Linked DNA regions of Xenopus tropicalis. The protein of the gene in region 2 interacts with the protein of the main gene of each other region in a biochemical or structural test. Links are inferred from orthologs where the notes say so. Each region holds a gene or a part of one and is shown on either strand. Other genes may lie near its edges. The genes, in order: siah2, snca, plk2, nedd4, nedd4l, cryab and ensa.

The links.
Region 1: of the proteins of snca (region 2) and siah2, one has a biochemical effect on the other in vitro, tested with the Homo sapiens proteins (4 studies listed by BioGRID). The link is inferred for Xenopus tropicalis from reciprocal best matches to the Homo sapiens genes SNCA and SIAH2.
Region 3: of the proteins of snca (region 2) and plk2, one has a biochemical effect on the other in vitro, tested with the Homo sapiens proteins (2 studies listed by BioGRID). The link is inferred for Xenopus tropicalis from reciprocal best matches to the Homo sapiens genes SNCA and PLK2.
Region 4: of the proteins of snca (region 2) and nedd4, one has a biochemical effect on the other in vitro, tested with the Homo sapiens proteins (3 studies listed by BioGRID). The link is inferred for Xenopus tropicalis from reciprocal best matches to the Homo sapiens genes SNCA and NEDD4.
Region 5: of the proteins of snca (region 2) and nedd4l, one has a biochemical effect on the other in vitro, tested with the Homo sapiens proteins (3 studies listed by BioGRID). The link is inferred for Xenopus tropicalis from reciprocal best matches to the Homo sapiens genes SNCA and NEDD4L.
Region 6: the proteins of snca (region 2) and cryab form a complex in vitro, tested with the Homo sapiens proteins (4 studies listed by BioGRID, with this or other methods). The link is inferred for Xenopus tropicalis from reciprocal best matches to the Homo sapiens genes SNCA and CRYAB.
Region 7: the proteins of snca (region 2) and ensa form a complex in vitro, tested with the Homo sapiens proteins (2 studies listed by BioGRID, with this or other methods). The link is inferred for Xenopus tropicalis from reciprocal best matches to the Homo sapiens genes SNCA and ENSA.

What each region holds. Positions count from the first base shown.
Region 1 is NC_030681.2:118,287,556-118,290,339, forward strand, and holds part of siah2 (E3 ubiquitin-protein ligase SIAH2), read left to right. Parts: intron 1-995; coding exon 996-1,553; 3' UTR 1,554-2,784. UniProt on the Homo sapiens protein: E3 ubiquitin-protein ligase that mediates ubiquitination and subsequent proteasomal degradation of target proteins.
Region 2 is NC_030677.2:78,431,608-78,435,670, reverse strand, and holds the start of snca (alpha-synuclein), read right to left. Parts: upstream 2,801-4,063; 5' UTR 2,517-2,800; intron 2,115-2,516; exon of another isoform or gene 2,009-2,114; intron 1,969-2,008; exon of another isoform or gene 1,884-1,968; intron 1,551-1,883; 5' UTR 1,526-1,550; coding exon 1,405-1,525; intron 1-1,404. UniProt on the Homo sapiens protein: Neuronal protein that plays several roles in synaptic activity such as regulation of synaptic vesicle trafficking and subsequent neurotransmitter release.
Region 3 is NC_030677.2:190,391,809-190,396,029, forward strand, and holds the start of plk2 (serine/threonine-protein kinase PLK2), read left to right. Parts: upstream 1-1,421; 5' UTR 1,422-1,458; coding exon 1,459-1,671; intron 1,672-3,435; coding exon 3,436-3,543; intron 3,544-3,643; coding exon 3,644-3,760; intron 3,761-3,876; coding exon 3,877-4,006; intron 4,007-4,221.
Region 4 is NC_030679.2:100,490,819-100,494,318, reverse strand, and holds part of nedd4 (E3 ubiquitin-protein ligase NEDD4), read right to left. Parts: intron 3,424-3,500; coding exon 3,353-3,423; intron 2,000-3,352; coding exon 1,904-1,999; intron 1,791-1,903; coding exon 1,717-1,790; intron 951-1,716; coding exon 890-950; intron 282-889; coding exon 222-281; intron 1-221. UniProt on the Homo sapiens protein: E3 ubiquitin-protein ligase which accepts ubiquitin from an E2 ubiquitin-conjugating enzyme in the form of a thioester and then directly transfers the ubiquitin to targeted substrates. Specifically ubiquitinates 'Lys-63' in target proteins.
Region 5 is NC_030677.2:201,923,176-201,927,245, forward strand, and holds the start of nedd4l (E3 ubiquitin-protein ligase NEDD4-like), read right to left. Parts: upstream 2,801-4,070; 5' UTR 2,660-2,800; coding exon 2,621-2,659; intron 1-2,620. UniProt on the Homo sapiens protein: E3 ubiquitin-protein ligase that mediates the polyubiquitination of lysine and cysteine residues on target proteins and is thereby implicated in the regulation of various signaling pathways including autophagy, innate immunity or DNA repair.
Region 6 is NC_030683.2:84,501,356-84,505,451, forward strand, and holds the start of cryab (alpha-crystallin B chain), read right to left. Parts: upstream 2,801-4,096; 5' UTR 2,406-2,800; coding exon 2,211-2,405; intron 1-2,210. UniProt on the Homo sapiens protein: May contribute to the transparency and refractive index of the lens. Has chaperone-like activity, preventing aggregation of various proteins under a wide range of stress conditions.
Region 7 is NC_030684.2:127,177,953-127,181,452, reverse strand, and holds part of ensa (alpha-endosulfine), read right to left. Parts: intron 260-3,500; coding exon 134-259; intron 1-133. UniProt on the Homo sapiens protein: Protein phosphatase inhibitor that specifically inhibits protein phosphatase 2A (PP2A) during mitosis.

The DNA.
Region 1 (2,784 bases), on a different chromosome or scaffold from region 2:
TGCTGCTATTAAACAACCAGTTAATAAGCTTACTGGCTAATATATGGAGCCAAAACAGCAATTGATATCTGACTGGAGGCAAGTCCAATATCAATTGGGCTACCTGTAAGGGCAGGGGCACACATAGTGGATTGTCTACTTTCCTCTGCCTGCGCTTTGTACACAGACACACGAAAGCAGATCTGCTTTCATGTGCTCACTCCTGTAGCTCCATTGACAAGCCTGGAGTGGCCTGTTTGTAGCAACACAGAGCATGTATTGCAATAAAAACATAAAAGTATGCATTTTCGCAACAATATCTGCTCTGTGCAGCTCCCCACAGGCCGACACCAGGCCAGTCTGTGTAGTTACAGGAGTGAGCGCATGAAACTGCTTTTTCCTGTACAAAATCCAGGACTGCTCTGTATGCCCCTGCCCTAAAATCCTGGCAGGTAAGGATTTATTTGGGCTATGGATGCAGTCTTTTTCTTCCAGCATAATTCATCATATTGAACCTTAATTTTAAGTGGAAGGTAAAGGCAAAAATGTAGCCCCATTCTGTCTAAAGACAAGCAACTTTAAAAATTTAATTGAGTTACCAGCAGTTACTATCTTTCCTACATTTACAGTAAACTGTATCATATAATAAATTTGTATTGGACAGTAACGTCTAACATATTGCAAAGTGAAGTAATCATTTTTCAGTCATCATATATTTTATGTTTTGCCTTTGTTTTTTTTCCTCTTTCTGAAACTTAACATGCCATCTGGTTTCAGCAGCCAGAGAGCTAATTGATTGGAGATGTTAGATTTTTAGCATTTTTTATTACTTTACTGTTAGGGCAAGCATTCAACAAAACAACTTTTTAGGAACAGTTTAAATTCTGTGAGAGCTGCAGGATGTAAAATGAAGTTAAAATATAAAAGGTCAGTTAAAAAATGCCTTAGAATGTTATTATCTGTAACAAACGTGAAACTATAAAATTAATGAATATTATCTTTGTTTTCACTTGTAGTATGCTTCTACTGGATGCTCTCTATCTCTCCATCACACTGAGAAGCCAGAACATGAGGACATCTGTGAATACCGGCCATACTCCTGCCCTTGTCCCGGAGCGTCCTGTAAATGGCAGGGATCATTGGAAAATGTTATGCAGCACCTTACCCACTCCCACAAGAGCATCACCACCCTTCAGGGAGAAGATATAGTTTTCCTTGCAACAGACATTAACCTGCCTGGTGCTGTCGATTGGGTGATGATGCAGTACTGTTTTAACCACCATTTTATGTTGGTGCTGGAGAAACAGGAGAAGTATGAGGGACACCAGCAGTTCTTTGCCATTGTCCTCCTTATAGGCACACGAAAGCAAGCTGAGAATTATGCCTACAGACTTGAACTCAATGGAAACCGGAGGCGCTTGACATGGGAAGCTACGCCAAGGTCCATCCATGACGGGGTAGCTGCCGCAATCATGAACAGTGATTGCTTAGTTTTTGATACTGCAATTGCACACTTGTTTGCAGACAATGGAAACTTGGGCATCAATGTAACCATATCCACATGTTGTCCATGATACTTTGTTTTGTGATCGCTGTGAAAAAGTTATTTAATGGGCTATATTTGAATAGAGTACAGTTTGCATTTTTTTTCCTACAAAATGGACTTGAAACATCACTTCGTAAAGACCCTAAATATTCTCTTCTATATATTTTTAACTTTGGGGAGTGCCAGATCGCTGTTCAATAACTTCCCTACACTCCTCTTGCACTTTAAGAGTTAGAGGCTCTATGTTCGTGTGAAACATTGTAAGATGACATCATACAAATATTTGTTATATTTTCTTATAAAAAGCGTTAATGACAGCTTTGATTGTTTAGCATAGGCAGAAATCATAAGCTTCAAATATTGCACATTGTCTTAAACAATTGAAATTTGACAAGCATTTTTTTGCTTTTTACATTGACTGTGGATGGTAAAATAATAATTGTACACACAATAAGCTATACCTATGTACTAATGTCAGGACATTCATTCTACAAAGAAAGGGGGGGAGTTCTGCACTTCTCTCATGGCCAAATTTATTTAAGGAAAATGGGAAAATTCTCAACTCCAGAATAACAAATATATCAATTGATATATTGTACAAATGTTGTTTTCTGATATAGATGTACTTTAGTGCTAAATCAGTCTGTTTGCAGGGAGTAAATCCCAGGGGCGATGCTTTAACATCTCCACTTCTGCATTGCAAAGCTGAAGAAATGGCAGGTTAGTGTGTCTGGCAAATGTTTCCATCCACTCTGTTGTTTTAATTTAGTGGTGTGTGTGCGCTACAAACATTTCAGTCTCTGTATTCTTCATTGACACAATGAAACAGCCCCAATAGCTGCTGTACAGGGATATAGATAATGGTGCTGCTCTTTCTGTCTATGGAGAATCCCACTTCAGAGGCCTTCAGCAATGCAGCTTTTATGCAGCATAAATACTCTGTCCTTGTTGTAATGTACACTGTACAAGATATGGCTTTTTTTAAATGCATATTTAAGGGAGCTTTTTTTTTTTTTATCAATTTTACTTACTTTCTCAGTTTAGTTCTGCTGCAAGTGCTTTGAAACATATCTTTGTGTGGAAGATAAACCCTACTTATAAACTGTTCCTTTAAAGGGATACCCTCTTTAGCAGTGCTGTAAGCCAAAAGTGAACCCCCTTGTGTTTTCCATATGAATATTTTTTTTTCAGCACTGTATTTACTGATCTTTGCCTAAGGCAAATAAGCTGTGCCATTTTAACTTGTAGTTTCATGCAAG
Region 2 (4,063 bases):
GACTATAAATATGTGCACTGTGCAAACTTTATTCTATGTACATATTTTAATTTTAAAGGACACGTGAACCCCCCACAAACATGTAATAAGTAAGCAGCCTCTTTGAAATATTTAACTACATGTCACTCTTGTTGTTAAAAGGTTAATAGTAAGGCTGCAGCATCCCGTTAATCACTTAGGATTCCTTCTTCTTCTGTAACCCACTCAGCCCCCTTCCTCAGGAATATGCTTTGACTGTTGGCTACTGGGCATGCTCAGTTCTTCTCAACTCAGATTACTAGACTCTCCAGTCTAGCAGACAATTAGGAGATGGCATTGCTGGTTCCCATAGAAGCTCTGCTCTAGCTGTCTGCTTCTATTTTTCTCCTAGCCATGTCTTCTGAGCTCAGATTAAACATTAGAGTGCTCAAACCAACCAAAAATGTTTATCAAAGTAAGTTTTGCCTGTGTAAGCCTGCAGTCTCAGTTGCATGAATTTTACAGCATAAAGTTGCTGTTTGCAAATACATCACTAATAATGGCGGGTGGGTGAAAGCTACTATCTGTTTTAGGAAAATAATATGGTGCTGGTGAACTTTGGGGATATATGCAGTACAAATGATGCTGTCTGAGTGAGGGAGATGTACCCAAATTATATACATAATAGGAACATGTAGGGTTTACACAAGAGAACTAAGGACATTTAGTTTTGTGTTATTATTAAAATGTAGTGTACTGGACCACAACTCAGGTCTTTTGTAGGTTTCAGGGGGCAGTGTGTCCCATAATCTTCCCTAGTTGACCTTTCTGGTCTGGTTCCTATGCCTCTTTCCTTTGCCTGAGCACTTGGAGAACTATATTGATGTGTTCACCCTTCTATTTTACAGATCTGTAGAATATATTGAACTATGTTCTTTCTATCCCTCTCCCTAATTTTTTAATTGTCATTATAAAGAGTAGCATTTAAATTTAGTCATTATTTATTTGTATTGTGTAAATTAGATTTGCAATATACCTTCAAAAGAAACAACACTTTGTAAAATCATAATGTAAAGAATATGTGTAACAGGCTACAATGTGATTAGAACTGGGCAATCTATTATCAAGCCTACAGTTTCTGTAGTGGTCTGTCTTGTGGCTTACAAAACTGTACAGTGGGCTATTGCTTCTAAAACAGACATGTATGGGATTTACCACCAAGGAGATCCTCTGTGATCTCCAGGGGTTACAGATCCATTCTGCCATGGACAACTACTGCTACAAACTTCTACACAATAAACAAATGTTAAAGGGTATTTGCATTTGTATTCCAAGGACACGGAAGACAAATGATAGATCCTATTGTGTTTTTTGCAGGGTGATGAAAAATGGAGATAAGGATTGTAATTGAACAGATGACATTATATTGATTAGTTTTTTACCTACCTACGTAGAGAACACCCTCTTTTGTCTTTCCTGCTGCTTCTGCCACTCCCTGTTTGGTTTTTTCTGCAGCTGCCACAACACCCTCTTTAGCTTTAGAAAGCCCTTTCATGAATACATCCATAGCTAATAAATTTATTCTAGTGGCTCTGCAAAAGACAAATGCATACAAACACATTAGGACAGGTCATTTGATTATAGTGTAACTCATTACATTTGAACAGCATCTACAAAATAAAATATCTGTAACTGATTAGTATAGGATTTAAAAAACAATCTCTCGGTGCAACCCTTGTCTATCCTTAATCAGTCCAATCAGCAAGATATGCTATATATATGTATTATATTGCCAAAAATGGATTTCTGAAACATGAAACGCCATTTGTCTAATACTTCTTTACTACATTACAACATGCAACAGAGTATTTCAACAGGACGAGTCGGTCTATGATGGTAGTATTTTACAAAGGTCTGTAACTTACCAAAATATTGTAAATAATAATGCAATAGCTGTTGTCAGGATGAAAAAGCTTTACAATAATTATTTTTAATCCAACAAAAACTTTATTCTTAAGGAAAAAAGATAATCCCTGTTGTTAAAATGTACCTAATTATTTAAGATGTTTGATAGGTGATGAAGATCAAAGTGTATGTATGTCTGTGATTGTGAGAGTCTCTCTTTATACAGATATGTATGAGTGTGTGTGCAAGAATGAATATTTGAGTGTGTTTGTATGCAAGAGTGGTGCTGTGTATGTGTGAGAGAGTTTGTGTGGGGGTGGTTGAGGGAGAGTCAGAGAAAGGGAATGGGAGAGAAACAGACACAATATACCGTACTTCACACAGGCAAAAAGATTAAAGATAAAATTGAGCATTTAACCCACAGAAACCTTCATACTTCCTATTCTCCTTATATAAGACAAACAACCATGTGCATCATTCTCCGTTGCATTAAGGACACAGGTGACAAGCTATCCCGTGAGCAACTGTCAGCTGCTTAAACTAGGTCTGGGTGAAAATGCCAGATAGAACATTTAAAAAAGCTCATAGTGAGCAGAATAAATACACTTAATATCCTACATGGCATGTTATATAGATGTAAATGCAATACTTACATTAACCTTTGCTCCCCAAAATTAGTCCAACAGGAATGATATCTGTGCGTGTATAAACAATAAAAAAGGAATCAAGTCTCTTCTTCAGTACATAACTGCCAAATAAATCCCCTGAGAGGTATGTGCATATGTAACAACCTGATGGAATCAAAGCATTCAAAGCAGGTACCAGAGAAACCACACCTATCAGCTCTTCATAAACAGAAGGAATTTTAGAAGGGGTAAAAAATAAGAGATTAATACTTTTACTCAGTAGGAGCAACCTATGTCCTCCGTATTTTTCTTCCCTTCCCCTACACCCTCCACACCTCCCTCCTCCCGTCTTTCCTTTCCACATGCCTGATTTGTCAGTGTGAAAATTGAATAATCGTAGCCAGCCTCCCCAAGCTGGACCACTTGTAATCCGACTGCTGCTCGAGCAAACAATGAGAACCATTATCAACAGAAATATTTGAGATTAAGAGGTCTGCCTTGCATCGGAAAATTATTGTTCCCGTCACCTTCATTTGTAATGTAGGTGCTGGAAAGCAACAATCAAATCTGCCCACAAAACACCACCAACAAAAAAGAGTAATATCGTCTACTACAGACATGCAAATGATCTGCTACCTTACCCTAGCAGCTGCTGTATGCCTGCTGTGCTGAATTATTTATTGCTAAATATCTGCACTTGCCACAATAAATATTTCTTACAACAAGCTTGCAGTCACTAAGGTGATAGCAGATATGTAACAGGCAAGCATTTAAGCGCTCTCTCCAATTACTAATGACAGTAAGAAGAGAAGAATAACACTAAACAGCTAAAATATTACAAAGCCTTACCAAAACTGAATTCTAGTATTTACTATATTATGTAGATGGTTCCTTTCAACCCAGGGAATTGGTCAGTGGAAGGACAATGTAATTATGCCCTAAATACTCCAATTCATAACTGTAACTAAAGAATGTGGAACCTTTAGATAATTACATTTTGCAGACCCATTCTGGTTACTGGTAATGATAACATCTTATTATCAACCTTATCCACAATAATTCATTCTGACCATTATCCATGCACTGCTATGAAATGCTATAAGATCAGCAACCAGTTTCATTCCTAAAAAACAGGAGTACTATTATTATCATCCCTTATTTACATATTATATATATATATATATATATATATATATATATAGTAGTAAGAAACCAGGAAAACAAATAAATCCCTTGGGAAACTACAACCAAATGGTACCCAGTAGAGAATCAATCTATTTTTCCAACACAGCAAGGCTTCCAAGCTAATTTAAGTGCTCATTTTCTAATCCCCAGGTTACATGTGCAAGAGTGCGACACTTAATGCCTTTTTGCACTTTACACAATGTATTGTGTGTGTGGTACAGTACATAACCCCTTTGTTATTCAAGAAAGCTACAACGACAGAGGAATAATTCACAGAATTGTTCTGAAGATTCTTCTGTTGGAGGAGAGGTGTCTTTTAAAACAATATGCAAAAAGTACAACTAGCACAAGCCCTACTAATTGAACTCATGTTAAACAAGGGGGTATGT
Region 3 (4,221 bases), about 110 Mb from region 2:
GCACCTTTAGCCTGAGGGACACTCGCCCTCCTGCCTACAGTCCCACACTCACATACCTGCACCTTTAGCCTGAGGGACACTCACCCTCCTGCCTACAGTCCCACACTCACATACCTGCACCTTTAGCCTGAGGGACACTCACCCTCCTGCCTACAGTCCCACTCACATACCTGCACCTTTAGCCTGAGGGACACTCACCCTCCTGCCTACAGTCCCACTCACATACCTGCACCTTTAGCCTGAGGGACACTCACCCTCCTGCCTACAGTCCCACTCACATACCTGCACCTTTAGCCTGAGGGACACTCACCCTCCTGCCTACACTCCCACTCACATACCTGCACCTTTAGCCTGAGGGACACTCACCCTCCTGCCTACAGTCCCACTCACATACCTGCACCTTAAGCCTGAGGGACACTCACCCTCCTGCCTACACTCCCACTCACATACCTGCACCTTTAACCTGAGGGACACTCACCCTCCTGCCTACAGTCCCACACTCACATACCTGCACCTTTAGCCTGAGGGACACTCACCCTCCTGCCTACACTCCCACTCACATACCTGCACCTTTAGCCTGAGGGACACTCACCCTCCTGCCTACAGTCCCACTCACATACCTGCACCTTTAGCCTGAGGGACACTCACCCTCCTTCTCCCTGCCACCCAGGCTCCCTGGGCACATGGTGGTGGGGGCAGAAGGCTTGTGGTTGGGGTACAAATGTTGGTGGCTCCCTCTCATGACAAGTGATTGCCCAGGGCACTGAGACACAGGGAAATGCAAAACATCCTCTCTGCTCCCCAAACAGGAAATCTCTGGGGGGGGGGGGCACAGCTGTACTTGGGCAGCCTCCCTTTCCCTCATTTCATATTATGGCCTTTGGGGTGCAGAGCTGTCAGTCCCAGGGCCCCCCATTAGTAGTATGAGTAGGACTGGCTAGCTATGGCCCTGCAGTCACAGAGCATCTGATTGACAGCTCTTCTGCACAAGAGGTTCTGCAGCAGCTGAGGTGAATAAGGCGCCCATGTATGCAGTTTATTGACATGTCAGCCTTTAAATGTCAGAGTTGAAAACTAACAACTACAACTCTCAGCACTAAGTCAATGTGTTTGAAACCCTACAGGTTTTTTCATTCACTAAATGGTATATTCCTGCCCTCATGTAAAGCTGCCTTGAATCCATAATGTTGCTGTTAAACTGCACTGCAGAATATGTTGGCGCTACAGAAATTCCAATGAACTAAAAGGGACGGTAAATGAGCGACACGGGTATCCAGGCGCTGAGCAGCAGTATCGACGCTCCGGGGGATATGCCCAGACAATGACCGGGAGAGGGCGAGTCTCTTTAGCAGCGGCGTCACACAGGGGGCGTGCCACAAGTGATAAAAAGGGGATGCCTGCCTGAGAGCCGAGCAGAGCGGAGTCCCGCAGCGGCAGGAGTAGGTTGTTTGAGGGGTTATGGAATTACTGAGGAATATCGCTTATCAACCAAGCAGCGGGGGCAAGATGTGCGAACAGGCGCTGGGCAGGGTGTGTGACAGCAACAGGAGGTGGAAGGTACCGGCCGATGGGGAGCCCATTCATCACACCTGCTCTGCCACTGAGGTCTCCAGGATTATAACCGACCCTGGCACAGGGAGGCGCTACTGCAGGGGCAAAGTGCTTGGCAAGGTAATTGATCAGGCACCCTGTGTAGCATGGGTACACTTGGCACTAATGCGGCTGGAGGAGGCTTTTGCCTTATTGATACCCGGAGAATGATTGGCCCAGAGAGGAATTCCTGTGCATTACTGCTCCCTGTCAGAAATGAAGCCTTTGTGTGCTTCTATGTGCCATGTTGTGTCTGAGAGAGAAGTGCCAGTGTTGGATCTCCATTGGGCATCACTTGGGCTCTTGTTGGGGATACCCCGGTGCCAATCCTGCACCCACAGAATCTGCCATCCCAAAATCTCACCTCTTCTGCATCCCTATTGTCTGGCATATGGCAGCACCCCAACCTCTTGTGCAACCCCATTGTCTGGTATATGAAACTGGCACACCTTCTGCACCCCTATTGTCTGGCAAATGGCAGCACCCAACCTCTCCTGCACCCCTATTGTTTGGAATAAGAAAGTGTCCCTATTGTCTGGCATATAAAACAACACCCCAATCTTTCCTGGACCCCCACTGTCTGGTCAGTCAGTACCATCCTCAAATTCATCCCTATTGTCTGGCATATGGCAGCACCCCAGTCCCTCTTGAACCCCCATTGTCTGGTATAAGTCAGTACCGTCCTCAAATTCATCCCTATTGTCTGATATATGGCAGCACCCCAGTCTCTCTTGGACCCCCATTGTCTGGTATAAGTCAGTACCGTCCTCAAATTCATCCCTATTGTCTGGCATAAGGCAGCACCCCAGTCTCTCTTGGACCCCCATTGTCTGGTATGAGTCAGTATCCCACCCCTTCTGCAGCCCTATTGTCTGATATATGGCAGCACCCCACCTCTTGAGCACCCCAAGTGTCTGAAAACAAGTATTATGCTTATTGTGCATCTGATATAAACCATTTTCTCCAATGTTGTGTATTGTCAGTGTCTTCTTTATTTCTGGTTTGGGTTCAGGGCAGTATTCCCACCTATACTCTATGCCAGACATTAGCCCCTTCTGTATCTCCAGGGATTCAGGGCATTGTACCCACATCTTCTAAATTCCCATTGTGTGAATATGAGCAGTATCCCTGTCACTTGTGCATCCCCTTTGTCTGATAGTGAGCTAAAACAGCAATTCCTCTGTGACCCCTATGGAAAGTAACCCATTTCTTCTGAATGCCAACGTCTGTCATAAAGCAAAATATGCATTGTGTTATATTGTCTGGCACAAGGCAGTGAAACCCCATCTGTTTGCCCTCAGTTTTCTGATTCCCCATATTGTGATTAAAGAAGTGCTCACATCCATGGCAATCTCTGTGCTTGAGATGTCAATATGTCACTGTAGGCATTTATTGCATCCCCAATGTCAGTTTCGCACTGGAGGAACCACAAATTAACTATTTTATATTTAAAGTTGTATTCTGGTTTGGCAGAGCAACAGGTCAATATTTATTGTTTTGGGGTTTAAAGAAAGTCCCACAGTTCAAATGTTTATGGAATAATGACATGAAATGTCTGGTGTCTAATAAATCTGCTCATGTTTGTATGTATATATATGTTAATATAATGGTTTAGAATTAAGCCCAAGCATTTCAAGGTGCTCCCTGCTCTTTATTGGCATTAAATACCACCCTTTGCGCTACCGGAGTATTTATGATGAAGGTGTGTGGCATCATTAGTATGGGAATCTTTAAGGAAATAATCCTCTGTTAAGCAGCCTCATTAATTGGCAGCCAGTAATAATGCTTGTGAGAGCGACACCTTCCTTTTTAATTAAGATTTTGGGTTTCTGGCTTCTTTTCCAGGGTGGATTTGCGAAATGCTATGAAATGACAGATTTGACAACAAACAAAATATATGCTGCTAAAATCATCCCGCACAGCAGAGTGTCCAAGCCTCACCAAAGGGAAAAGGTAGATATTCTAGTGGAAAAAAGCACCAAGAGCAGGCTTTTATGGTTCCAGCTGCACGAGTGGAGCAAATATATTAAATCATATTTCTTTGAATTTGTAGATTGATAAAGAGATCGAATTGCACAGAACCCTGAATCACCGGCACGTCGTACAGTTCTATCACTATTTTGAAGACAAAGAGAACATCTACATATTACTGGAGTACTGCAGTAGACGGGTACGTCGCTGCCTTTTAACCCTTTGCACAGCTTTGCTATTAGATGTTGTGAGCCTTGGGGGGGGTCTTCACTGTGACAGAACCCGTGCTTATCATGTATTCTCTTGCCCCTCCAGTCCATGGCCCACATTCTAAAGACAAGAAAAGTGTTGACAGACCCTGAAGTGAGATACTACCTCAAGCAAATTGTCTCTGGTCTGAAATATCTCCATGCGCAAGAGATCCTCCACCGGGATTTAAAATTAGGTAAATAATTGAAAATGTTTTTTGCATGCTTCCTTTAATATAGCTTCAGTTCTCCAATGGCTGTACTAAATCTCAATCTTATCCTTCCTCTATACTGATTGCAGCAATATACACTATTTGCTGTGGACTGATATACATCAATTTGATTACCTTATAAAAGAACAGACTATGAAATCAGCTGTCATATGAGGGGTTAATATAGTTAAACAGTGGGA
Region 4 (3,500 bases), on a different chromosome or scaffold from region 2:
GATTTGAAATATGATATCTCAGAGAGAATAACTTGTAACTGTATTATTTGTTGTTCATAAAATAAGAAAGTTGGTCAAGTGGCTAAATACTGTTCAAATGCACAGCACCTGTTCCCTTAAGTTTTTGTGGGGTCTTTAACTTCTAGGTATATCTCTGTAAATAGGACTCTAAAATTGTTATACTAGCTTAAACACGATATGTGATAGAACTGGCAACATACCTCCAGCTCATTTTCATCAAATATTTTTATCAGGTCTTGCGGGATCAGTTCAAAGAAACCCTTAAAATGAATGAAATCATATTAAAAAAGAAAATAAATTACCTATATTCCTAATTTGTCAAACCTAATAAAATGAATTTTCCCTCTGCTGCACCTTGTTGTGCCTATCACTGTAAATGTACTGAAATTATTCCACAATAAACATATTTAAGGTTAAGACTCCTAGGCCGTTCAGAGAAAATTATACTTTTGCGTTGAACTGACAGTGACCCTGTTAAACATAGGAACCCATTGAGCATAACTTAAGTGCCCCAGTGATAGCTCTTTGTACCACCCCCCTGCACACTAGGCTGTTATTTTTTTTATTATCTTATTTGCCTTCCAGGTCTCCCAAATGGAGAGAAACAGAGGGATGTGCAGCTCCAGCAACTGGACAGTATGAATGCCAGAGGTTATTACACAAACAACACTGTAATTTTATTGGTGATACTGATATTCTTATTTATTGCAATTTTTATCCATATCAGTATCCTGCAGCCCGCTAACAGGTTCTGGTCACTGCCACATATGTTTGAATACATTGTAATAAGTGACTAGGTGAAGGCAAACCATCACACCTAGATACAGTACAAAGATCACACATTAAACATAATTTGAACATTATTTACCTCTTTGAATGCAGCCATCTGTTTTTGAACTCTGTTCATAAACCTCCACTGAATAACAAGACTGCATAAAAGAAACAGCAGGAATTTACTTCCAGAACAAAAATAACTTATTCTAATGCTGAATATGAACCTTACTGTTCGGCAAATATAAATAGGCAGAATGTAAATGTATTTGAGTTGAGCACCCACGTAGCAGCAGTTTGGGTTTAAAGCTTGCTAGTTTATTACTGTTAATACTGTTATCAATAAATGGTTCTAAAACTGCATTGCTTGGCATAGTGCACTCAATACTGCCCTGTATTTATAAAATAAAAGTTTAGTCCCAACATAAATTTTACTTACCGCAGCTATGGGCTGCTCGGAGCTAACGCAATAAACAAAAATATGCAGATACATAAGGTACCCTATGTAGAATATCTCATCTTAAGGGTTATAAATAATTTAACTCACATATAATAATAGGGATAAAAGTAGGGATGAACTGGGTTTATAATGGGGTCAAATATAGAGTCTGCCACAAAAAAAAAACACTAAGCACTGAACCTAATCCTGATTTGCTTATTTAAATTTGAGCAGAAAAGCAAATTATGTCATCTGGAAAAACTTAACCACCTTCATTTGGCCACTGTACAATCTGCCCTGCTGGCAGGTAAAGCGTTAAAGGCAAAGAAAACTTGAGTGGAAGATATTACATAGTTATCTAAGAAATTCTTCAAAAGCAACAAACCAAAATTGGAACACATGCATTGAGTGCTTCTCCTATTAAAGCCAACAGGGAAATGACAAGAAGTATTTCCTATACATCATACTATGCAATGCACACTTACTGTATGTACTCTTTTTTGTTCTTGTTTGTGACTAAGATTTGTGAACCACCAGCCTTCAACTCATGTTGATGTGTCTATCAAAAAGTTACAAATTCAACATCAATAATCTCTACAAGCCTACTACATGTTAACACATTTATAACTCATTGTAGAGATATATTTATAAGAAATATGGCTTTTCCCCCACCTGTCCAAAAAGTTCCTCATCAACAGTGAAGCACAGATCTAAACCTGAAGGATCATTTTCTAGTATCCACTGGAGGGAATTGTAATATTCACTGTCCTGATAAATAGATAATAAAAGTGCAGTTTAGACAAAAGGCAAGAATCATGCCAGTTGCAGATCCAACATACTTACAATAAGGGGGCATTTATTAACATTCAGATTTTAGAGATTTTATGACTAAAACACATTTTCACAAGCACTACTTTTTCGAACTGTCATACAAAAGCCAGTGTCAAAAAGACCCATAAAAACCTCTAAAACCACGAATCAAAGATCTTCCAGTTGTAAAAGGGACATCTGATCTTGACAGGTTTTAGATGGCTTATTTTTGCTTTCAGGTTTGTCGTGATTTGTCACATAATAGATAGCGGAAAAAAATGTGTTCTTTTTTCTCCACAACAAAATTGTATCTTGGTGTCAAAAAACCTGAACCAAAAAAACTGGGTGGTAGTAAATGTCCCCTTAAAGGAGAAGCAAAGTAAGGTATCTTACTTCCTCTCTCAGAAAAATCCTTAATTGCCTTGGGCAGAGTCTGCGCAGTTCTCTCCTTTCTCCCCTCTCCTGTCCCCCCTCCCTTAGGAATGGGTGATGTGAGCTAGACTGCAAACAGGAAGCTGTTTAAAATGGCAGCTGCTGTCTTAAGCAAACAAAGAAAGCTTCTAGGGCTCTTTACTCAGGTATGGCAATGCTTCCTGCAGAATAAATATATTGTTCTAGGTGGCACTAATGTGGCAAATTGGCTGTAAAATGCCAAAATGACTTTCCTTCTCCTTTAAGTGTGTGACAATCATAACATATCCTTTATGCCAGCAGCAGTCCCTTGGTTATAATATATAAACTAAAAACTCTTTCAGTAAACTACCCAACTTACATCTTCTCTACTATTATTGCTAGCATAGGCTTAACAAAGATCATACCGACGATGAGTGGTACAAGCCAGGTTATCGGGATTCAGCTAAATCTGAGTTCTGAAAAATCCTAGATTATGTGCATCCCTAACTGTTATTGTTGAACCTGAAAATTAAGGTTCCTGAATGCCTTTAAGGATTGGCTTGAAAAATCCAGCTTTTGGTGTTGCCTAAAATATATACTTGCTCAGTCCTCTCTGCACTTGAAGTACTGATTTGTTCCTATTTTCATATACAACTTCCTCAAATTTCATATTTTCGAATTTCATATTTATTTACTACATATTGTGTGCAGCTTGAAAAAGCAAAATTTTATAAAAAAAAGAATCTGTCATTTTACTCAAAATATCTGTCTTTCCAGCTATTCAACTCTCAATGTTTTTCTCTATATAAATATATATATATATATATATATATATATGTGTGTGTGTGTGTGTGAAAACTAAAGAAACAGTAGAAACATACATCAGTATAATTAACAAATAGGGCAAATAAAACATACCACAGACTCCATGTCATACAATATAATTGGTTTTTGGAGCATCATTTTGTAAAATGGGCGAATAAAAAATGCTGTAAAAGAAAATAAAATTGATATATTTATTAGTATAACCACACAGTCCTTTCTGTATAAACATTTACAACTATAC
Region 5 (4,070 bases), about 120 Mb from region 2:
GTTGACGTGTCCCTGAAACTGCTGTGCCTATATAGCCGATATTGGCAACCTGTAGGTAGGGATATGTGGAGAAGATCCGCCCGCTTGGCAACCTCGCCAAACAAGTGCCGTGTATGGCCACCTTTAGATATACCTGATACTGATAGAGGATGTCTTATATATGTGGGGCTTTTTTATGAGCTAAGGGGATGCATAAGGGCCCCCAACTCTATCAATCTAAAGAGCTCTGCCCTAATAATAATGATTTTAGTGTAAATCCTGTGCTGCAATCTGCTGCTGGGCTACGCCACATACATAACCTACATACAGCTTAATCTGACAATGTTATTTACAGTAATATATATATAACCTGGGCAGAGCTGCTGCCAGTGTCAAGTACCCACACAGTGAGGTGGGCGCATATAGAGAGAGGGGAGGCACCACTCCCTTAGCCCAGAATTCAAGCTTTCGAATGAATTCCTGCACAAATGTCAGCGCTTGGCTGAAAAAGAAATGCCCTGCAGGAGCCTCACCTCCAACTCCCGGGCGCACATACCATGTGCACTATGCATTCCATAGGCGTCACACACTGAGCCAACACCCACAGCAGGTACCGGGGGCACCTGAAATCATTCAAACAGGGACCATAGAGTAATATTGCCCAGAGAACTGGTAGTGCCCCTGGCACTATAGGTAGTTGGCGCCTCTGCATTCTAGCAATAGCAGCTCAGACTCACCCCCCACCCCCACAACACACCCAGATACACCACCAGATACACCACCACCCCCAGCTGGTTTAGTTCATTTAAACTATTCAATCAGGCATTGGCACTTTACAATATATATATATATATATATATATATAGCCACTAGTATGATGCCAGCTTGCAATACTGCCCATATGACCAAGCAATACAAAGAGGGGGCTCTTCCCCATGCTGCAGTGCCAATGCTGTGCCAGACTGACGGGATGCCAAACAGCAGTATTCCTGGCATGCCAATGTACATATAAGCAGTTGAACTCCCGGGATGTTGCCCAGCCGCAGCCAGTCACACAGATGCCAGTACTACAGATGGTCCCAAACTGCCTCAACCAGCAGTACTTATGGGATGCCAACAGGGTACTTATGGGATGCCAACAGGGTACTTATGGGATGCCAACAGGGTACTTATGGGATGCCAACAGGTTACTGATGGGAAGCCAGCCTTCCTGCCCAAGCAGTATACAGGGTGCCAGCCTTCATGCCCAAGCAGTATACAGGGTGCCAGCCTTCATGCCCAAGCAGTATACAGGGTGCCAGCCTTCATGCCCAAGCAGTATACAGGGTGCCAGCCTTCATGCCCAAGCAGTATACAGGGTTCCAGCCTTCATGCCCAAGCAGTATACAGTGTGCCAGCCTTCCTGCCCAAGCAGTATACAGTGTGCCAGCCTTCTTGCCCAAGCAGTATACAGGGTGCCCAGCCTTCATGCCCAAGCAGTATACAGGGTGCCAGCCTTCATGCCCAAGCAGTATACAGGGTTCCAGCCTTCATGCCCAAGCAGTATACAGGGTGCCAGCCTTCATGCCCAAGCAGTATACAGGGTGCCAGCCTTCATGCCCAAGCAGTATACAGGGTGCCAGCCTTCATGCCCAAGCAGTATACAGGGTGCCCAGCCTTCATGCCCAAGCAGTATACAGGGTGCCCAGCCTTCATGCCCAAGCAGTATACAGGGTGCCAGCCTTCATGCCCAAGCAGTATACAGGGTGCCAGCCTTCATGCCCAAGCAGTATACAGGGTGCCAGCCTTCATGCCCAAGCAGTATACAGGGTGCCCAGCCTTCATGCCCAAGCAGTATACAGGGTGCCCAGCCTTCATGCCCAAGCAGTATACAGGGTGCCCAGCCTTCATGCCCAAGCAGTATACAGGGTGCCCAGCCTACATGCCCAAGCAGTATACAGGGTGCCCAGCCTTCATGCCCAAGCAGTATACAGGGTGCCCAGCCTTCATGCCCAAGCAGTATACAGGGTGCCAGCCTTCATGCCCAAGCAGTATACAGGGTGGGTGCCACCGGCAGTATAGATAGGGTGGGTGCCAGCCCCCTTTGATTTACAGGCTACTGATGGGATGCCAACATACACAGGGTGCCAGTGACAGTATAGATAGGGTGGGTGCTAGACCATTCTGATTTACAGGGCTATGGGATGCCAGCCTCTCCTTCTCACATGTACTTAGGGATGCCAGCCTTGCCCAGCAGTATGCCAGCCTTGCCCAGCTGTATGCCAGCCTTGCCCAGCTGTATGCCAGCCTTGCCCAGCAGTATGCCAGCCTTGCCCAGCAGTATGCCAGCCTTGCCCAGCAGTATGCCAGCCTTTCCCAGCAGTATGCCAGCCTTGCCCAGCAGTATGCCAGCCTTGCCCAGCAGTATGCCAGCCTGCTGCACCTAACAGCACTGGTACCAATGGCACTACCTATTCTCACTGACCCACCATTGGGAGATGCCAGGCAATTCCTGTATGAGTTCTGCCCAATGACAGAAGCTACTGCCCCTATGCCAGTCTGGGCGAAGTGTTGCCCCTTCAGCTGGCAGCTGTGGTTGGACGGCCTCTGCTTGCCCCCCTGTGCCACCCACACAATTAAAGAGACACAAACATGTACTTACATCGTCTTCTGAGAGTCCATAAATGGGTTCAGCCGCCATGGGGAGAGTTGGGGTGCAATTACCCCTAATCCTTTGCGCACAGTAGATGGGAAACAATAGGAGGGCGCTGGCCAGCTGCCGCTCACTAGGTGCCTATTCCGGGTATAAGGTCCGTGCCGGTGCCGGCGGGTAGAGAGGAAGAGCCAGACCCGCCACTCACACGATGTCCCCCCGATCCCTGTCAGGCACAGTCCCAGTTCTCACACAAACGCACACGGGCCCCGCCCACCCAGCGCCAATCAGGAGCCGCCCAGCCCAGAGAGGCGTGGCCAGGGCTCAGGGACGCTCAATGAAAGTGGGGAGGGGCAGGGCGCCGGGGAAGTTCGGTTGAATCGCTCCTCACAGTCAGTGTCATGGGACCGTCCGGCCGCTCTGAGGCTTTTCCTCTGCTGCTGGGACAAACAGGAAGCTTGGGAAATGTAGTAGGAAACAGCTGAAGGGATGCTGGTAGTTGTAGTCAGGAGCAGGAGGGCGGCAGGTTGGATGTGCCAGTGTGTGTGTGAGGGAGGAAGCGCAGTGTGCAGCCTTTCCCTGTCCCTGATCCAACAGCGCCGTCTGCTGGAGACTGAGAGAGAGGCGGCGTCTGTGTCAGGAAGCAGTGACCTGCACCTATAGCCTCTAGCTCCTAGTGTGTCTGTAGCAATAAACAAACACTGCTTTTATTTGGAATTATATATACCTTTAGGGTGAAGTCACACTGAGCTACTAGTAGCAGCTACTAAACTCCAGAAACTCTCCTGCCATAGACAATACTGAGAATTGTCTCTGCTAAGACACACAAAGAGACGATTATCAGTAAATGATCAGCATTGGCTATTTTAGTAGCCATGACAAGTAGCTGCTACTAGTAGCTCCGTGTGTCTTCACACTTAAGGGCTCTGGCACACGGGGGAGATTAGTCGCCCGCGGCAAAACTCCCTGTTCGCGGGCGACTAATCTCCCCGAGTTGCCATGACCCGCCATCCCGCCGGCGAACATGTAAGTCACCGGTGGGATGGCACACACGGCGGCGCGATTTCCCGAAATCGCCGGAAAAGACTCACAAGTCTTTTCCACCAGCGACTTCTGTTGTTGCCAGTGGAAAAGCATTTCAGAGTTGATAGTCACCTGCAGTAGCAGAGATCTATCACAGGTGACTTAATCGCCCCATGGGCCACCAACCTAAGAAATGTAATCATGGTAGGATAGGATCTGTGCCACTGTGACAGAATGCTCTGTTATACAGATAGCTAGAATCTCAGCCATAAAGCAGGGCAGGACTGCTGCTTACAATGGGGGGATCAGATAGGATCTGTGCCACTGTGACAGAATGCCCTGTTATACAGATAGCTAGAATCTCAGCCATAAAGCAGGGCAGGACTGCTGCTTACAATGGGGGGATCAGATAGGATCTGTGCCACTGTGACAGAAT
Region 6 (4,096 bases), on a different chromosome or scaffold from region 2:
CTATACAGGGAGAAAGTGGTACAGGTTTGTATTGGGTGGTAAGTGTTAACAGTGGCTGGACTGGGGCAAATAGTGGACATGGTTTTACTGGGGAAACATATCTGAGATGGCTATATTGGGTAAATCGCAGAGGTGATTGGAGGTAAATAGAAATAAGAAGAAATTGCAGAAGTGATTATATGTAGGGTTAATGATAAAGCTGGTAGATCTAGCTGTAATGAGAGAAAGTTGGTTATATTATGTGAAATTAAAACAGATGGGTGTATAGGGGGAAAAGGCAGGGATGGCTGTACAGGAAAGAAATGGCACGGGTGTGTATACTGGGGGAAATATCAGAGATGACCATATTGTGGGAAAAAAATAAAATACGTGTGCTACAAAAATGTGATATATAAGGAAGTAATGGTAAATACTGATGTACTCTGGAAATTTGCAGAGCTGTCTGTAGTGGATAAAATAGCAGAGACTTGCAAATGACATGAAAAACTGAATCTGGAGAAAATGGAAACAGATAGAGCTAACCCCGCATCCTCATTTTTAACAGCTACAGTATTTTACTGAAATAAATAATAGTGGTTTAATCATTTAAAAATAAGGGATACTTTGTTAGCCATTAGATTAGCCTTAAGCCGTACCGCAACCTCACCTTTTATGTAAAGAACCTTTATCCCCCACCTTTTACTCTATAACTTTTCAAGTGGGTAACAAGATCCAAACACACTGTTTATTGTTCATTTTTAAAGCATATTTTTTCAAATAAAATTTCAAAAACATTATCTAAAAGCTGTATCTGTGGTTCTAAGTAGAACTGTGGGTGCTTAGGGAAGCTTACTTTTTTATAAGCAAAATATGATTCAGCTTTAGTTTGGTGTTTGAACAAACCAAAGAAAATTGGTGCATGCAAACTATTTGTACTTTTACTTAATGTGGTTACAGTATCAACATTTGGGAGCATCACATTTCCAAACTGAATTAGATGTAAACTTTGCAGGCGACTGGGTGTGTGTTGCTAACAGCCGTAGGTTATAACTGAAGGCACTACAGTGACTGCAATCACATTCACATCATTAATCAAAAGTCAAGCTATAACGGCCAGGAGTTTAGCTTTTAATATTGCTGTTTTAGAGCTATATTTATGAAAGTTTATAAAAAGCATATTTTTGTTTTAAAAAGTATTATTTCACTTTTGGCTTTTATTAGAAAATGTCTGATTTTTTTCCACCACTTTTTGTGAGCTGGGTGTTCCCCACTTTTTACCCTATCAGGAAATGTTAACTAAGATTTAAAGTAACTTCCATATTTGACACCAAAGGCCAGGAAGGGTGCTACAAATAGCAGGACACAGGGTCCCTGGTAAAAGGGGCTTAGTGGTGGTCATTTTATGGGCTCTTTAGGCCTCAGGTGCTTGATGGAACTCAAGGAACTCAAAACCTTCCCAGAAAGTATTAGGAGGGCTGATATTTGGTGACTTGTGGTATCAGCAAACATGTCTCAGCCCAGGAACAAAGCTGCTCTTAATCTACCACTGGGGGAAGTTTTATTTGAGTGCAGCAGAACCTTAACTACACAGAGCTGCTGCATACAGCAACACTCACAGCAATTCTAGACACTGTTAGAAACTCCATATCAACACTATTTACAGAGTTTAGTGCTTTAAAAAATGTTTTCCTATCCACCACTTTTCTTCTGTAAGAGTACAGTGTATAATTAGATAAGATGTTTCAAATGGCACAGGAATATAATCTGACCACAGAATAAATGAATATAACTGTTCTATAGTCTTTTTCTTTTCCAATATGTTTGTTTTAATTACCTAGTGCTCTGTTTAAGACATTTGTTTGAGCCAATATTATCTTAATATTCAATTGGAAATATTTGTCAAATGGTGTTACTATAATTGGTGGTAAAATGATTACTTTAACATATTACTAGCCACTCTACACACCTTTACTCTTTAAAGAAACTCAGTTAATTACATTGATTTGTTGCATTTACATTGATTAATCAGCATCCTTTGTAAATGTATCTATTTGTACTGTGAATGTAGAAAAACACAAACTTTGGATGAATATTTCCATTGAATTTACTTGCCCTTTTCCTTATAAGCATTATAAGATCTGACTGGGCAATGCAAAAAAGTTAATTGTACTCTTAAACCTCCCAGGCCTCCCTCTAGGCTCAGCATTTTGCAGGTTTAAAAAGAAAACTACCTCAGACAGTCCGCTGTCTATCCAGTTTGGAAGCCTGGAGAAGGGGTATCTGAAGAAGAAGGGTGATACACTGGAAGTTGGGAAAAGTTCAGCCTCGTGAAGGTGTTCCCCAAAATTCTGATCAAAGATCCTATTTGGTCCAAAGAATGAGTAAAAGTGACGACGGAACCAAGGATGCTGGATGGCTACATCCATTTTCTTGCTGCTTGTGGCTACTATGAAAGAAAAAGCTCAAGGTCTGAGTTAGCCAATGGACCTAGAGCTCTTATATATAATGGACTGCCAGTCAGCTCCACCCTTGCACCCAAACATTGAACCTTCTGGAAAATTGATGTCAGGTGATTTCATTATTCAACCATGCTCGTCTGCCCCCATTCAGCAGAGTGCTGTTGGATATGTGCCATGACAAATTCTCTATTCACTCTCCAGCCCACTGGATCAGCAAGAAGAGATGCTGATTATCGTTCTGTTTACTTTCCGACTTCTGTGCTTTTTGGCTCAACAGATCTATTCAGCCACTCTCCTGTAACTTGACAAGGATGATTTCATGCCCAGATCTGACAGCTGATAGTGTAATTGATTTAATCCGTAATACTCTAGAAACATCCAACCCTTTTCCAGCTTCCTACAGGGTGCGTATAGACTAGAACAACTTCATTCTTGTAATATGTAGCATTACTGGCAGAGGGGGAGTTAAATGCCTACATGGGTGTGATCATTGCTGACAAAGAAGCTAAATATACACGCAGTGTGCAATTATTATTTTATTATAATGTTATTCATATCTTTCTAGGTTAGTCATCAGGTTAAACAATTAACATGTTAAATATGTTTATGTTGTAAATCAAAACTTTTCATCACAGAGTTTGTGACACCAACTTCTGATCAGCAAATAATGTAGAAAGCTAAAAGGTCCAGTCCAAGAAACCTTCATTTTCCTCTATACTGCCATACTTTACTGCCATTACCTTTTACTATGATAAATCACTCAGTGGCTAAAGTTGATCACATATCGACAAACTTCCAGAACATCATAGATTAACCAGGCATTTGCTCTATTTGGTCGCACTTGTGGATGGCTAAATTGCATTGATCTAACTAATGGATCTGCGGGTAAGATTGTTAAACAGAAATGTGGGTTCATGTAGTTCTGGCACAGCAGGTGTCACCATTTTAGGGTATAACTGGCCACACACTGATCAGCAGGGAAATGTCACAGACTGACAATGACAAGTTTTTTTGTTTTTTTTTTAACATTTTCTTTATTGCATTTTTCAAAAATTTTGCATAGAGCAAACAAAGAGAAGGAAAGAATGAGGAAATAAGAGAAGAAGAATAGTGTAGATAGGGGGGAAAGGGGGGGGGGTGTTTTTGGGCTTCCTTACTTATCAAGTGCATTACTGACTTTGTCTTACATTTGTCCCATGGCCTTTTATTATGTTCTTAATAAAGAAGCTATTAATTAAAACTGCTGGTCCAGTGTCCGTTAATTGTGTCCATTTGTTATGTCCATGCCCCTGTTTTGGGTCCATGCTGATGTACCCTTTTATTATATCCAGTTTGTGGTGGCATTCAGGGTTGATGTATGTCTTTCAGCCAATTGTCCCATATCTTGTTAAATTTGTCTGGGCATCTCCTAGCCAGATATGTTAGCTTTTGACTGGGAAGGGTGTCGTTAATTTAAAGTTGCCTTCCAGGTCATTAAGATTGCTTTTTTGGCGAAATGTAGAATTTGGAGGAGGCATAGTTCATCGTATTTGTTAAGTGATAGTCCTTCCATGTGTCCAAGTAGGCATAAAGTTGGAGAACAGATATTTGGGACTGTGGCGCTGCAAGTCAGTACCTCTGACCAAAATCATTGGATTTCAGTGCAGTCCCAAAAAATA
Region 7 (3,500 bases), on a different chromosome or scaffold from region 2:
AGGCCAGCCATGGCTGTTCTACTGGGTTCAGACTCATTCTGCAGGGACATTTAGTATTAACCCATTAAAGGCCTAAGCATGCTTGAGGAACAGTTCAAACACACCCAGAGCCAACAAAAATCCCTTTACTTACTCCTTTTTGAAGCCTTTTCATCAGGAAGTCTGAACCTCCAGGTTTCTGTCCTAAATTGGGATATTTGGCTTTCAATTTTTGCTCCTCTGCTTTTTCTGGAGTCACCGCTTCCTTTTCTTGCGAGTCCTGAAACACAAACGTAAGTGCAATGGGTGCGGGTCGGGAATGTTCTTTTTACTCTCACCATATAGTATATGATCATTCCCAAACATCTCTCTACCAAGCTATACTGAAAAGCGCAAGCTGGCCATACACTTACTGATAAAATCGTACAATTGATTTTTTGGGCAGCGAGGGCTCCAAATTATAGTCCCGATAATTTTCCTACCTTGGCAAACAGTTGTTTAGCCAATAGGACAGGATAGAAAATCTTGGTCACATAACGATAAAATCTGCGCATGTATTGTGTATCTGACAATATCCTTGGGGGACCTACAATGGAAGTCACTTTGGTATGATGGTGCCTGCCAACTATTTCATGTTCAGAACATCCTCTGATTTGTACTTTAAGGGCTTTATCCTACAATTTCAGTCTGAATCTTAGTTGCATTTAAATATACGACTGATATCCGAAGACTAAATGTGTACGTGTATGGCCAGCTTCACAATAGTACACCAAATATTTACAATATTGTCCATAAAAGAGCAGTTAAAGTATGATGCGATCATATCCAGAGTTTCGTGGCACATTAGCACTTGAAGTGACTTAAATCACTTTAGTAAACTGTATTATTGATAAAAATATTATTGCTTCCTGACAGACTGAGGACTTAATGTGGCTGCATGGTGGCTCAGTGGCTGGCATTCCTGCCTTTCAGCGCTGAGGTCCTTGTTCTGACGCCGTTGTGGGCGCTATATGATAAGTGTTGTACATTCTCCCTGTATCTTTGTGCGTTTCCCAAAAAGCATGAACTTGCCCTAATTATTTCATGTATTCATTTAGCAAGAAAGCAAAGAGTGGCGAATCACATTTCCTTCTCATATACTGGATACGCAGAATCAATGAGCTGATTATCAGTTGTGCTGAAATATCTATGGGCTTGAAAATACTCCTGAATGGCCGCATCGAGCCCTGGTTGGAACAGCTTTGATGCTGTTCCCCTGTTGCCATGAAGAGCCAACTATACTTACTATCCAGAGAGGAAGACAATTACCTGTTATGTAGTATATGGTTTGTATGCGATATTTAAAAACCCAATTCTGTATCCAGCTGTAGCTGTCGTCTCAGTGTAACTCTCTGTTCAGTTCTATCGCTCAGTGACTACAACTGAACAGTGTTAGAAGACACCGCTAGGTGTGGCAGTATAAAACTGCTAATATCATGAAAGCGATCAGAAGAACATGTTTAGCAATTTAGTTGTTGGGTAGGGATATGTCCCTTTAAATAGGTCTAGATTGAAAAAAAAAACTGCCTCTGGCAAAGCTCTTACAATACCTAATAAACTAATTTTTCCTGCATTGGGAGCATTCCTCTCCGCCACAGGTAGCTGCCGTCAGCGCTTGCTGCAACATGTAGTTTGTTTATATACTGATAAGATACAAATATTACAAGGGCACAGAGTCTGGGCCTCAATACACACATAAGAAAACTAAAAAAAGGTTTATTAGTCACGTATATAAGAAATTATAGCAGAACCATGATGGGATGATTCAGTGACCCAAACCCCCACATACATATAAAAAGAAAGAGTAAGCATTTCAGGGCACGAATGAGAGCCGCTCTTGTCAGTTTCCATGCACAGATCCATGGCATGATGGGCCACCACAGGCTGAAAATGCAGCCCCACACAAATTGCTAGATCTGCTTGCAAAACTACACACCTGCAGCTGTTATTCTAAAGCCCCGGGGTAAAGGAATGCAACAAGGAGGACTTACATACATATATATCTCCTACGGTATATGAGTCTTTATTTTTTCATCCCTTTGGATGTGAAAAACAACACCAAGCTGACAATCGCCCCCACTACTCAAAGCAATTGGAAATTCAGGTTGTTAAGCAAGGTAAACAGCTGCCAGAAAACCAAGAGAGATTTGCTGAGCGAATTTTTCCCCCCCCCCTTGGCAATGGAAAAACCACATTTAAGAGGACGTGGTTAGTAGTCGTGGCTCCCAAGCATGCCCGTCAATGCAGGAATTTCGGATGTTCCCGGGGGAGCACAGGTGCTGCTGTCACAGTGACTGAGCTATTAATTTATCCCTCCACGCTCATTAGAGAGCTAAGATGGAAAACTCTTGTCAAGATTATGAGCGCTACCGATGTATCATGCTGGAACCGAGCAACAGATACGGGGAAAATGGAGTATACACTGCATATTTATAGTTTCTGTACCCTTCTGGGGTAGAAGTTTGTAGGAAAGCAAAAAGATATATCTGTACAAGTATCCAGGCTTGCTACGTACTGGGTTCTTCCGATAAGGCTCATATATCCTGTGCTAATCATAGGACAGGAAGTTACCCCCCCACACACACAACTCAGCTGTGCCATTTAGTATCTATTGGCCGGGTTGGGGTCTTTTTTTAGTGAATTCTGTATTTATCATAGAGCAGGTAGGCAGGGTTGCACCAATGAGCCCATGCCTAAGGGGCAGCCCACGGGTGCCTGCCCACCTGTATATTGTGCTTCATTGCAACTGCTCCCCGACGCAAGGCATCAAAAACACCCTCGCTATTGCCCTCAGTATGAAGTAAAAGAAGTAAACTACATGGCAGTTGGGAGCCACCTGTGTCACCAGGTATCCCCCCCCCCCCCCCCCCCAAAAGGAGTATTCCATAATCTCTAAGCTTCCATCCCATGCTTATTTAAATTTGTAGATTGTAAGCTCTTTTGGGCAGGGCTCTCTTCACCTCTTGTATCGGTTATTGATTGCTTTATATGTTACTCTGTATGTCCAATGTATGTAACCCACTTATTGTACAGCGCTGCGGAATATGTTGGCGCTTTATAAATAAATGTTAATGTAATGTAATGGGAATTGTACCAATAAAAGCCTATGACAGCCACTATGTGGTCACTTCTAACCCTAGAGCAGGGCTTGGGTTACTGGAGACCTCAGTGCCACAGGCCTTAGCCGCATAACTAAATATTTTTATCCTTCAAATCCATTCCTTCTGTCTCAGTTCCTTCCTTGTCTGCTGAGATTATTAGGAAGCCTCCCTCCCATACTCCCTGCTATCCTTCCTGTAACGATATGCCAGAACCATTTGGACACCATCTATTAAACTCAAAATAGAGCCTAATCATAAGAGACTAAGTTCAAACAGAAATGTATCTGTATTACACAGCACGCTGCCTTAGTGAAGCTTACAGTGTAATTTCTCTAGCAGTTTACACTAGATTATATAGTATACTATCCCAAACTATCCCAT